Danio rerio: one gene and its partners. The protein of the gene in region 1 purifies or fractionates together with the protein of each later gene. This does not show direct contact. Links are inferred from orthologs where the notes say so. Each region holds a gene or a part of one and is shown on either strand. Other genes may lie near its edges.

Region 1 (4,278 bases):
ATTTGGAGTGAATTCATAAAAGCTCCATTCATATAAATGTCTTTTCTATCTTTCTACCTTCTCTCTTTTACTGAAGACAAACTTATGTTAATGTCTATCTAATGTTGATAGATAGATAGATAGATAGATAGATAGATAGATAGAAAGATAGATAGATAGATAGATAGATAGATAGATAGATAGATAGATAGATAGATAGATAGATAGATAGATAGATAGATAGATAGATAGATTTCTCTTTGGGCACATAAAATTTATGTATAATGAAAATGTTTTACTATAGTTACTATAGCATAATATTATAAAATAGTAGGCCTATCATTGTATACATTAATGTATAGTATATGCCTGTCTGTTATGATATAGTAGGCCTGATTGTAAGGTTATTTATTACTATATGACTATTAGAATTATTATTGTATAATTATTATGACGTTAATATATTCAATATAAAACATGTAACGTTAATAATGGTCAACACAAATAACTCACCAATGCCACTGAATGTGCAGGTCCAGTAATTTCGCGACACCGAATCCTGCTTCTTTGGGCTGTCAACATTGTTAATTTTTTTCTTACCTTATTTATTTAGGTTTACCCTTTAAATGGTTTACTAATTTCTGACACTCAAGACAGCTTTAGAAACGACCGTCTAACACTCAATAAATGAAGTTGTGTTTACGGAACTGAAGTGATGTTGCCATAACAACGAAAAAGGACCACTTCGATACATCAGCCAAAGAGCTTAGAATCACTCTATGCTCTTTGCATCAGCCTATCTGCGCCTCCCATGTGCGCCTATAGTTATGTGATGATGATGATAATTATGTTAGCTTATAATTGTAAAATATTATTTTAAATATATCGAAATGCTAGAAATAAACTACTGCCGTGAACTTTTGCCCACTTATTGACGGGCTTTTATGTTAGAAAATAAAATAAAAGCCCCTACATAAACGGTTTATTTCATGATTATTTCTTGTGTTCTTCTTATTTATAAATAATAACATGAAAACGTAAAACGCATAAAATACTTATCATATTCATCTTTTGCTTATATAGCTAATGTTAAATACTGCTGTTGTATACATTAATATGACAGTTATAAAAAACTAAATCAAAAAATATTTTTACAGTACAATTCAAATGAAAGAAACACAACAGGGATATAAAAATCTTCTTCTTCTTTTTTTTTTATATTTCGCATGTTGTGGTTGTTCTTAATAATTCTATATAACATAATGCTAAAAAGTTTCCCAGTGATGGGTTTCAGCTGGAAGGGCATCCGCTACGTAAAACATGTGCTATATAAGTTGGCGGTTCGTTCCGCTGTGGCGACCCAAGATTGACTATGCCGAAAAGAAAATAATTGAATGAATGAATAACGCAAAAAGTTGTCCCTCATGTTAGCGGTTTAAGCTTTTATTTTGAAAATTCTTTCCTCTTAGCATTTCCGATGATGTCACGTCTCTAGAAGGCGCCAAAGTTTGGACAGACGCTCTTGTATTATTATGTCTGCATAGACACTTATCAAGGGGGTGTGTGATTATAACAACAAATTACATTAACAAACCGCTTCACATGGGACAACGTTACCTCTGATATACGCGAAGGTATGTTTGTTTTAGCTAAATTAAAACTAATATCCGACAGCCCAAAGCTATCAGATTTGACGTTTCACTGTTTACAATTGCCTGCCCCGTAACATTTATCATGTTTACTGTTATATTTATTTACTAAAAACTAACATATGTCCTGTAAGTGTTATAGTCTATTAGCTTGTTATGCTGATTTGCTTTTACAAGGTTGTTCTGACTGACTTATGCCCACAGATTGCATAATGGCTGTGCCTTTTGTTAAAGACTGGGATGTGGTACAAACTCTTGGAGAGGGAGCATATGGAGAGTAAGTGACCAATGCACTTCATATTCGTTCCATCTTGATCAGTTGCAGTCTTAAAATTGTATTAATCTGCTTCAAATCATTGTAGGGTGCGACTGCTGGTCAACAAGAAGACAGAAGAGGCTGTGGCGGTGAAAGTTGTGGACATGGCAAAAGCCAAGGATTGCATCGAGAATGTGAAGAAGGAGGTCTGCATATGCAAGATGCTTTCACACCCCAACATTGTACGTTTCTTTGGGCACAGGAGTGAGGGGACGACACAGTACATCTTTCTGGAGTACTGTAGCGGAGGAGAGCTCTTTGACCGAATAGGTAATTGAACATTTTGGGTTCATTCAATAATTGTTGCATCCTTTTTGTTTTTGAGTCGTGTAGATGAGTCAGGGTTCAACGCTGGGGAGTTTTTCTACTGGTCTGATCGGGCCAATGATTCATATTTTTACTTGCCCTGACAAAAATTTTTACAGGCCCAAAAACAAAAAAGAGAAGTTAATAGCTTTTTTTTAGCCACATATTTTAAATAATGTGACATAAATAATGTCTGTGAATCTAGAAAATAAATATTTATAATGAGCAAAATTCTCAGTGTTGTGCAAACAAAAAGAGCAGTACGGAAAATGTGCAGGTTTTTTATTGCAGTTTGAAATTATATAAAAAATGGTGGCCGACTTGTAATACTGACGGCAAATTGTGCAAAACATTACTTCATTTTTCTCATGTTGTACCCATGTAAATGTCTGCTTCTAAGATGTTAAACACAGACATTTTCTTTTATCCTTATATTTTGATGTTGCTGTCACTTCACCACTGGTTGTTACCAGGTTATGGGGAAAAATATAGCATGCTCAATACACAAAATCAGATAAGAGCAACCAAAAAACAATATGGTGTTTACGACATCACAGAAAAGGTAGCATTTAAAGACTTAAAAACACAAACTTAAAATGCTTGCATTTGACCAATAATCGCAGGTCAATTAAGCTTTAGTGACAAGGCAGCACTTTCCCAATCGTAATGATCCTGTCTACTATCCCAAGTGTCTCTCACGCTGGCCCCGGGCCATCAGGCAGTCCTTGTTGTTGAGCCCTGTGAGTAAATCAACTGTAAAAAAAACAAATGTTCCCATCCTTTGCTTTCTTGTCAGAATTGATTTATTAAAATAAAGGCATTAAAATACCTAAAATTTATCTAAAGTATATTTTGTCAATCTTTCTGACAGAACCGGATGTTGGGATGCCAGAAAAGGAGGCGCACAGGTTTTTTCAGCAGCTGATAGCTGGTGTGGTAAGATTTGTGATCTTTTTTTTTTTTTTTTTTTTTTTTTTTATGGTGTATTTTGAGAACCATTTACTCTTCAAAGTTGACTTTGTTGTGAAACTTGCTCCATCTCACTTACAGGAATATCTTCACAGTGTTGGGATTACACATCGTGACATAAAGCCTGAGAATATTCTTCTTGATGATAAAGGTACGTCTGAATGGTATTTTTATACAGGATAAAATGCAATGTTCCACATGGTGTTCGCGGGGTCTTAAAGTCCTAAAATGTTTTAAATTTCCAAAGCTAAATGTTAGGCCATAAAGTCTTTAATCTATTAAAATATTGTGTTGTAGGTCTTAAATCTTTTTAAACAGGTCTTAATTTTCAGTTGTTTATAAATAGTTACCCAATCTGGCCATTAACATCCATATAATCACCAACAATCCATCTTTTATTTACAAATGTCCTGTTTAACTCCATTTACCATAATTGTTTAATTATTTTCCTAATAATAATAATTATTATTATTTAAAAGTTCCACTTGTATTTACTGCTTAGGACACTAACCTGGATGGACTGTTTTGCATACATTTAGTTTATTATAATAACTTTTAAAACATTTGTCCATTTTTCAGAAAGTCTATGTTGAAAAAAAGAGTGTTTGCAGCTAGAACTTGCTTGTTTTGACACAATATTTTGCTAATAGATATTTAAATTTGTTATTCAATTATCATAGTATTATTAAATTATATAATTTTTTATAGTGCAAAAATAAATATTTTTTTTTATCTGGGCCATTTAAAAAATTCTTTAGGGTTTAGCCCTGTATGAGTCTAAAATTTGTACATAATGGTCAAAATGTCTTAAAAAGTCTTAAATTTAACTTGGTGAAACCTGCAGAAGTTCCAGCTTCACAGATAAATTCAGCAGCAATATCCATGACACAAACACACACAGAAAAGCATTTTATTATCGATGTGCTGATATGAAATTGCAATATAGTCTGCTTTGGAGAGCTGGGGGTCTGTTTGGATTGTCAAATAAATTAATAAGCAAAATAAACAGTCCAGTAAAATTAAAAATGTACTCAAATTAAACTGGGCACATTACTATAG
Region 2 (4,439 bases), on another chromosome or scaffold:
ATGGACAGAATTGTACTATGGGTATTTTCTTTTTGTTTGTTTTTTTTTTCTTTGTCAGTGACTTTCTTTTTGTACTGTGCGTTTTAAAAAGATTTAAATGGATAAACTTGTCTTGTACATATATATATATATATAAAAAACACAAGTACTGTAGTCTGTTTGTTTGATGGCTTCTTTTCTCCCCTCTCGAATCCCTACACAGACTTGTTAGCATTTCGTTTTGTTTCATAATGTTTTTTTATTTTGTAAAAAATATATATATAAATATTAAGTAAATAAACAAGAAAAAGACATTTTCATCATTTTTTTGGGATGTGAATGTCTTTTTTAAGAAAACCGAAGTTTGTGTGCCTCTTTAACTGCAGTCTGCTTCTTTGTTCAGGTTGATCACGTCAAGTGTTGCTTTGCAAATGTACATTCACATCTTATTTTTTAAATCTAATACAAGGAGCCCTGTTGCCTTGGGGTTTAAAATGTATTGGTTTCTCAATTTATTATGTAAAAATAGGACTGAAATGATAGTTAAGTGTCTGAATACAAATCTTACCACAGTTGCTGGATGTAGAATATATTTAAATAATTTGGTTTACGATGCATATGTAGATTACCTAAATATCTAATCCAATACTAGATTACAGATAAAGTAAGGTAGATTTAAATTTTTGATGTGCTTTTTATTTAACTTTTTAACTTGCCAACAATATAAAACCTCTTTATTTAAAAATACATATTTTTTACTTAACACAGTAATTTAATAGAATTTATTCAAAGATATTACTTTTAAACTTGATGAATTAAAATTAAGCAATTTTAAAATCTTCATGAATGTTTAAACTTGCACATTTTGATAGTATAAGTCCTTTATTTCTCCCATACATATCCTACATAACATAAATATAGTCTGTTTTTCTGTTGAACACAGATATTTAAGAATATTAGAAATAGGTAGCTACTTACCTCTATAGAAGGGGAAAATAAATAAATAACTATAAAAGTCAACGGCTACTTGTTTCCAGCATTCTTGTTATTTACAGTAGAAACAAACTAACCGGTCTGAAACAAATTAAACACTTTTTTTTTTTTTTTTTTTTTTTTTTTTTTTTTTTACAAATAGTTATAGAAATAGTTTAGATTTTTTTTACAGCGTATAACCATGATGACATTACCTTGTTGGTAACGTTTGGTTATTTGTGAACTATCGAAAGTTTAGTATATACTTTTAATTTCAAAATGCAGCCGATAAACTTCCGGTAAAACGTGTATGTAATCGTTTTAAATTTCATAAGGTTCATTTTACAGTATCGATACTTTATGTAACTAAATATAATCCAACTTAATTGACTTAAGCATTTGTTTAGAAAGAAAGCGTTAAAAGATAACAGACGCAAGAAGGAACACATCATGCCGTGTGGGACTTTAATTTTGAAACTTGTGCGGAAGCAGGTGGAAAGCTCTAGTAGGTTTCCTCACTGTTCTTCCTGCGCTAATCTCTGATGCAACTCTGTTTGTTATGGTGGCATTTTGTGAAGGTCTCAGGATTCTGTCCATAAATGAGCGTTTTTGATCTGTTTCGTGGGTTTTTCGGGGTTCCCGGAGGTCATTATCGAGAAGATGGCCGCAGGTGAGTTTGTCAAATTGTTAAAATAAGTTCAAACGTCACCTGACAGCTGCTGCTGTTAAACAGATAATGTTTAAATATATAACCACGTGTATTTTGTGTTGTTCTGTGCGTTATGTACTTAATTTATATTTTATCTGCAAATATTACGGTTTGTAACTTGTGAATTGCATCCTTTGTGTTAAGTTAATAGCATAATGGTTAAAGCAAAACGATGATCGTTTAAATGGTAATCTTGTGTGTAGAAGTTATGTAATCTAATATAATTCATCTCGCTTTCTTGAGGTTTTTGTATCGTTAATGGTTTTAATACAAGTAACATTTAAACATTTTTAAATAAACAAAAGCGTTTATATATTGAAATTAAATTATGTTCGTGTCATTATAAGTTTTAATATATATGTTAGATAGACAATAACTTTGCAAGTACACAGATTATTTGGTCCAGTTTTATTTTCGAGTAAGTAACAGCTGAGATGTAGAGATGTGAAGCCATATGGAACATTCTTTCACTTTTATTTTGACACACCAGAACATGAAATGGTAAACACCGTGTTGCTCCTTGAAACATTAACACACACCTCTTCATAAGTACTTTAATTAAATGAGACTTAATTATTGCGGTTTCACATTTTAAAGTAGTAATAAGTATGAAAAATTCAGCAACAGATGACATCAGAATATCCTAATATAAAGAGAAGAAATATGAAAGAAAAGATAAAAGAATATTAATTTTCTTTTCGGCTTAGTCCCTTTAGTAATCAGTGGTCACCACAGCCGAATAAACCGCCAACTCATCCAGCATATGTTGTACGCAGCGGATGACCTTCCAGCTGCAATCCAACTCTGGGAAGCACGCATACACTATGGCCAATTTAGCTTCAATTCACCTGTTCCACATGTCTTTGGAATATGGGGGAAACCCACGCCAACACAGGGAGAACATGCAAACTCCACACAGAAATGCCAACTGACCCAGCCGAGACTCTGCGACCTTCCTGCTGTGAGGCGATCTTGCTACCCACTGCACCACCGTGATGCCCTGTACAAATATGTACACTGGATGTAGTTTTATGAACCCCCCCACCCAAAAAAAAAGCAGAGCAACAGAATATAAGCAGCATATTTTTTGACCCAAGAATATTTATCTTAAAATCATGCTTAGACTTGCATGCTAAAATGTTATATTTGTTAAATAAACATTCATAATTTTTAGTAATAATTAAGATATTTTCATTACCTGTCACTTGATGTTACACTTATCTTTATTTTCTTTAATTAACTATTATTGTTTTTACACCAAACCTAGATTAAATATATTTTAAACTATACAAAGGGTTTTTAATGGTGGTTAAAAATCCAACGGCACTTTGCATATAACTGTAAGCACTTTTGGTGTAATGGTAATCAACATAAATAATGATTTTTTTTCTTTTAAATGTAGACCTTGTTGGCATAAATAATATTAATTTGTCCTATATTGCGCCAGATTAATCAGCTACAGTGATGTTTAGTTTAGAGTGGTCTGACAATTTGAATCATGGTTTTTTTTAATACAGGGACCCCTTCTTTGATGGAATGATTCATGAAGATGATGATGATGAAGACGAGGATGACTTTAACAGACCCCATCGGGATCCGTTTGACGATGCCTTCAGGTTTGGATTCAGTTTCGGTCCAGGCGGGGCACGCTTTGAAGAGCCTCAGATGTTCGGCCAGATCTTCAGAGACATGGAGGAGATGTTTGCTGGTCTGGGACGCTTTGATGAGCGACATGGATTTGGACCGAGAGGTGTGTCTCTTTGCTCTGTCCCTTTTCAATTTAACATTTTGAATGACCAATTATAGTTAATTTATAAACAATAAGGTGACATGGGTGAGCAGTGGATAGCATGATCGCCTCACAGCAAGAAGGTCGCTGGTTTGAGCCTCGGCTGGGCATTTCTGTGTGGAGCTTGCATGTTTTCCCTGTGTTCACGTGGGTTTCCTCTGGGTGCGCCGGTTTCTCCCACAGTCCAAAGTGTGCTGTAGGTAGTCTAAATTGGCCATAATGTATGTGTGTGAATGTGTATGGGTGTTTCCCAGTGATGGGTTGCAGCTGGAAGGGCATCTGTTGCGTAAAACATATGCTGGATAAGTTGGCGGTTCACACCGCTGTGTTGACCCCTGATGAAAAAAGGGGCTAAGCCGAAAAGAAAATAAATGACTGACTGAATGAATGAAGATGTTATAATAATAAAGAATACTTATGAGAAGAGCAACATGAGTGTTGACATTACAAAGTATTCAATTTCTTTCCTTTTTTGGTACTAAATGACCCCAAATTACTGAAAAAATACCCCAAGATAAAAATTTCTAAACTGTCCATACCTTAGCCGAATACACAATGACAGGCTTGTCATAATTTTACAAATTGTCTTACAATGTCAGAACAGGGTAATAATTTACAGTTTGTTGTGAAATAAGCTAATTGATGATGGTTAGATCAGCTCATTGCACAATTTATTGTATTACTTTCCCCCTCAGATTTGGTCAAAACAAAAGTGGCCGATGTATTTTATTGCTTGTTCAGATGACATTCTCCAGTTAAAATTACTAATTGAGTGAAAGTGTCTAGGCCAGTATCTACACCAGTGCAAATAACCACAATCGCGCATTTTCAAACTGAGACAGAACTCGCGGACTGCTGCTTTACAACTGACCTTATTGAGTTCAAATACAGTTGAAGTCAAAATTATTCGGCCTTCTGTGAATTTTTTTTAGTATTTTTTTTAAAAAATCTTTCCCAAATGATGTTTAACAGAGCAAGGAAATTATCATA
Region 3 (3,656 bases), on another chromosome or scaffold:
ATCTGCTTCCAGATCTATTTTCAGTTGTCAGGCATCAGCATGAAAATATACTATAGTAATTCATAGTAAATACTATAGTGTTTTTTTACCATACTGACACTGACACATCTGATAGAGATGTTGCCCATCAGCTAAAATGTTGCTAAAAAAATTTTTATGTATGGGCGATACACGGTTGAAATCAGAATTATAACCCCCCTGAATTATTAGCACCCCTGTTTATTTTTTTCCCCCAGTTTCTGTTTTCAACACTTTTCTTAACGTAATAGTTTTATAACTCATTTTAATAACTGATTTGTTTTATCTTTACCATGATGACTGTAAATAATATTTGACTATATATTTTTCAAGACACTTCTGTACAGCTTAAAGTGACATTTAAAGGCTTAACTAGGTTAATAAAGTTAGGCAGGTTAGGGGAATTAGGCAAGTTATTTTATAACAGTGGTTTGTTCTGTAGATTATCGAGAAAAAATATAGCTTAAAGGGGCTAATAATTTTGTCCCTAAAATGTTTTTTAAAAAATTCTAAACTGCTTTTATTTTGGCCGAAATAAAAAACAAGACTTTCTCCTGAAGAAAAAATATTATCAGACATGCTGTAAAAAATTATTTTGGTCTGTTAGACATAATTTGGGAAATATTTAAAGAAGAAAAAAAAATTCTGACTTTAATTGTATATTGCATAACTGAAAATGGTTGAGGTCGTGTCCATGTGTTGTGCGATAAGTCAAAATATTGATTATTGTGACAGGCCTTTAAGTAATTATTGCTCAAAAACAAGCTAAATTTATGAAACTCACATGTTTATATTTACACTGTAAACCTTATTTAAGTTAAATCAAATTAACTTGGTTAGGTATATCTACTTAAATCAGTCAAACTGACTAAAATATTATGTTAAACTTTGTATAGCTAAAACAATTCACTTGAACCCTGATTAACTTGATAAACTTTTATCAAGTTGTTGATCTATTGGTATACATAATATACTTGTCAAAATGATTCAGTCCGAAATGGTAAAAGGTCAAATGTATTTACAACATATTCTTTTAACTCCCAGATGAATAATGACATAAAGCATCTTTTAAACGTAACTGTGTATTTTTGGTTAAAGCACAACGTTTTGCTCCCTTATTGACAACAGAGCAAAATTTCCTTGCTCTGTTAGACATAATATATATATATATATATATATATATATATATATATATATATATATATATATATATATATATATATATATATATATATATTAATATATATATATATATATATATATTAATATATATATATATATATATATATATATATATATATATATATATATATATATTAATATATATTTATATTTATATATATATATATATATATATATATATATATATATATATATATATATATATATATATATATATATATATATATATATATTATGTCTAACAGAGCAAGGAAATTTTCACCGTATGTCCGATAATATATTTTCTTCTGTAGAAAGTCTTGTTTCTACAGAAACAAGACTTATTTCGGCTAGAATAAAAGCAGTTTTTAATTTTTTAAACATAATTTTAGGGACAAAATTATTAGCCCCTTTAAGCTATATTTGTTCTCGATAATCTACAGAACAAACCACTGATATACAATAACTTGCCTAATTACACTTACCTGCCTAGGTAACCTAATTAACCTAGATAAGCCTTTAAATGTCACTTTTAGCTGTATAGAAGTGTCTTAAAAATATCTAGTCAAATATTATTTACAATCATGGCAAAGATCAAATAAATCAGTTATTAAAACTGTTATGTTTAGAAATGTGTTGAAAAAATCTGCTCTCCATTAAACAGAAACTGGGGAAAAAATAAACAAGCGGTCGAAAAATTCAGGGGGGCTAATAATTCTGACTTTAACTGTATGTATATATATATATATATTTCTAAGCAAACAGTTCTACTTTCGCAATACCACAATTGGTTTGGTTTACACTTATGCAATTCATACAAGATTTATATTAGAAATCAAAATGTAAGAATTAGTTTTAGTACATTTTGCAATATTTGTGAGGATTTTATTATGCTAATGTTGCATAAATAAATTAATTGTACCATATTAACACTGGCTAATCATTACACAACATGGCTTTCCATAACTAATAAGTATTTGTTTATTTAAAAAAAACATCAGGCTTAGTAGTTTTCCATGCCTTGTTAAAATGCAAAGCAGTATGAGTTGTCAGTTCTCCAGACCTCGCTCACTTCTCCACCTGTTTCTCTCCTCCATCTGTGTGTGTCTGGCAGGATGGAGAGGACCTGATGGATGAGAGCGTGCTAAAGTTCTACACACAGCAGTGGGAGGACTATCGCTTCTCCAGTAAAGTGTTAGATGGGATCTGTGCTTACCTCAACAGACACTGGGTGCGTCGGGAGTGTGATGAGGGACGGAAAGGAATTTATGAAATCTACTCGGTGAGAGAAACAGCGCACGCCCCTGCCTGACTCATTGCTTCCTGTTTTACATTTCTATACATTGTGTTCATCAGACTGAGTGATGACTAAACCTTGTAGTATTTCAATTCAATTTATTGCATATAACAGCCAACAGACCATACCTGCGATCACCCATCAGCAGTATTTTTGATTAATGCTTGCCATGGTCCGTTGTTAGCTGATAAAAGATCTGTCATTTGACCAGTTGGCTTGATGTGTTGAACATGTTTATGTGTTGCTGTGCTATAAAAAACCTAACTGTTTATTTATTGTGATTATATTATTTAGATTTAAATGGTAGCAGGTAAAATCTTTATTGTTCAGCCCTGAATTAATAGTAATTAAATAATTGAATGCTAATAATAGCTATATTTACTAATGTTATTGTTTAATTTCTCTCAAATTCTGTCACAAATCTAATATTTTGCTTTTGTAAATAGTTTTTAATAATATTGTGTGTTTTATATCTGTTTTAGTAATAAACTATATAAAATAATGTTTGTGCTTTTCAGCTTGCTTTGGTCACTTGGAGAGAATGTTTATTCAGACCTCTAAACAAGCAGGTGAGTCAGTCATTTCTTTTCTTGGCATTTTATAATTATGCAGTTGTAAATGACACTACTATATTTCTTATATTTGTATCAGATGAAATATAGTAAATACAGTGCTCGGCATATATGAGTACACCCCTCACAAATCTCTCATTTAAATTAATAATTTCTATAGGATGCTTTTCAGTGTTATATTTGTGCAAAAACATTAAATTAGTCAGTACTGAAGCCAAATCTGGAGCTAATAATTCCATTTGTAAAAGATGTTATTTGACTAAATATAATTTTAATAAATATATCCGTTAAATTAATCTGTTTTGTTCAAATGCGCCAATATATATTACCCATATTCACTGAGAATGGATAAAAATATTCATTTTCAAAATGGGGTGTACTCAGTTATACTGAGATTGCTGCAGATTACCCAAGACTAATTCTCCCTTTTTTTTAGAACCAAATTAGCCATATACAGTTAAAGTCAGAATAATTAGCTCCCCTGAATTATTTTATTTAACAGAGCGAAGTTTAAACACATTTCTAATCATAATAGTTTTAATAACTCATTTCTAATAACTGATTTATTTTAGCTTTGCCATGATGAGAGTAAATAACATTTTATTAGA

The links.
Region 2: the proteins of chek1 (region 1) and hax1 purify together in Homo sapiens (affinity purification with mass spectrometry; 3 studies listed by BioGRID and IntAct, with this or other methods). This does not show direct contact. The link is inferred for Danio rerio from reciprocal best matches to the Homo sapiens genes CHEK1 and HAX1.
Region 3: the proteins of chek1 (region 1) and cul1b purify together in Homo sapiens (affinity purification with western blotting; 6 studies listed by BioGRID and IntAct, with this or other methods). This does not show direct contact. The link is inferred for Danio rerio from reciprocal best matches to the Homo sapiens genes CHEK1 and CUL1.

What each region holds. Positions count from the first base shown.
Region 1 is NC_133196.1:24,017,363-24,021,640, forward strand, and holds the start of chek1 (serine/threonine-protein kinase Chk1), read left to right. Parts: upstream 1-1,383; 5' UTR 1,384-1,613; intron 1,614-1,832; 5' UTR 1,833-1,840; coding exon 1,841-1,905; intron 1,906-1,990; coding exon 1,991-2,146; coding exon of another isoform or gene 2,147-2,214; intron 2,215-3,121; coding exon of another isoform or gene 3,122-3,186; intron 3,187-3,300; coding exon of another isoform or gene 3,301-3,314; coding exon 3,315-3,370; intron 3,371-4,278. UniProt on the Homo sapiens protein: Serine/threonine-protein kinase which is required for checkpoint-mediated cell cycle arrest and activation of DNA repair in response to the presence of DNA damage or unreplicated DNA.
Region 2 is NC_133194.1:8,853,896-8,858,334, forward strand, and holds the start of hax1 (HCLS1-associated protein X-1), read left to right. Parts: upstream 1-1,488; 5' UTR 1,489-1,550; coding exon 1,551-1,621; intron 1,622-3,177; coding exon 3,178-3,410; intron 3,411-4,439. UniProt on the Homo sapiens protein: Recruits the Arp2/3 complex to the cell cortex and regulates reorganization of the cortical actin cytoskeleton via its interaction with KCNC3 and the Arp2/3 complex. Slows down the rate of inactivation of KCNC3 channels. Promotes GNA13-mediated cell migration.
Region 3 is NC_133199.1:21,249,723-21,253,378, reverse strand, and holds part of cul1b (cullin-1b), read left to right. Parts: intron 1-2,293; coding exon 2,294-2,461; intron 2,462-2,994; coding exon 2,995-3,045; intron 3,046-3,656. UniProt on the Homo sapiens protein: Core component of multiple cullin-RING-based SCF (SKP1-CUL1-F-box protein) E3 ubiquitin-protein ligase complexes, which mediate the ubiquitination of proteins involved in cell cycle progression, signal transduction and transcription.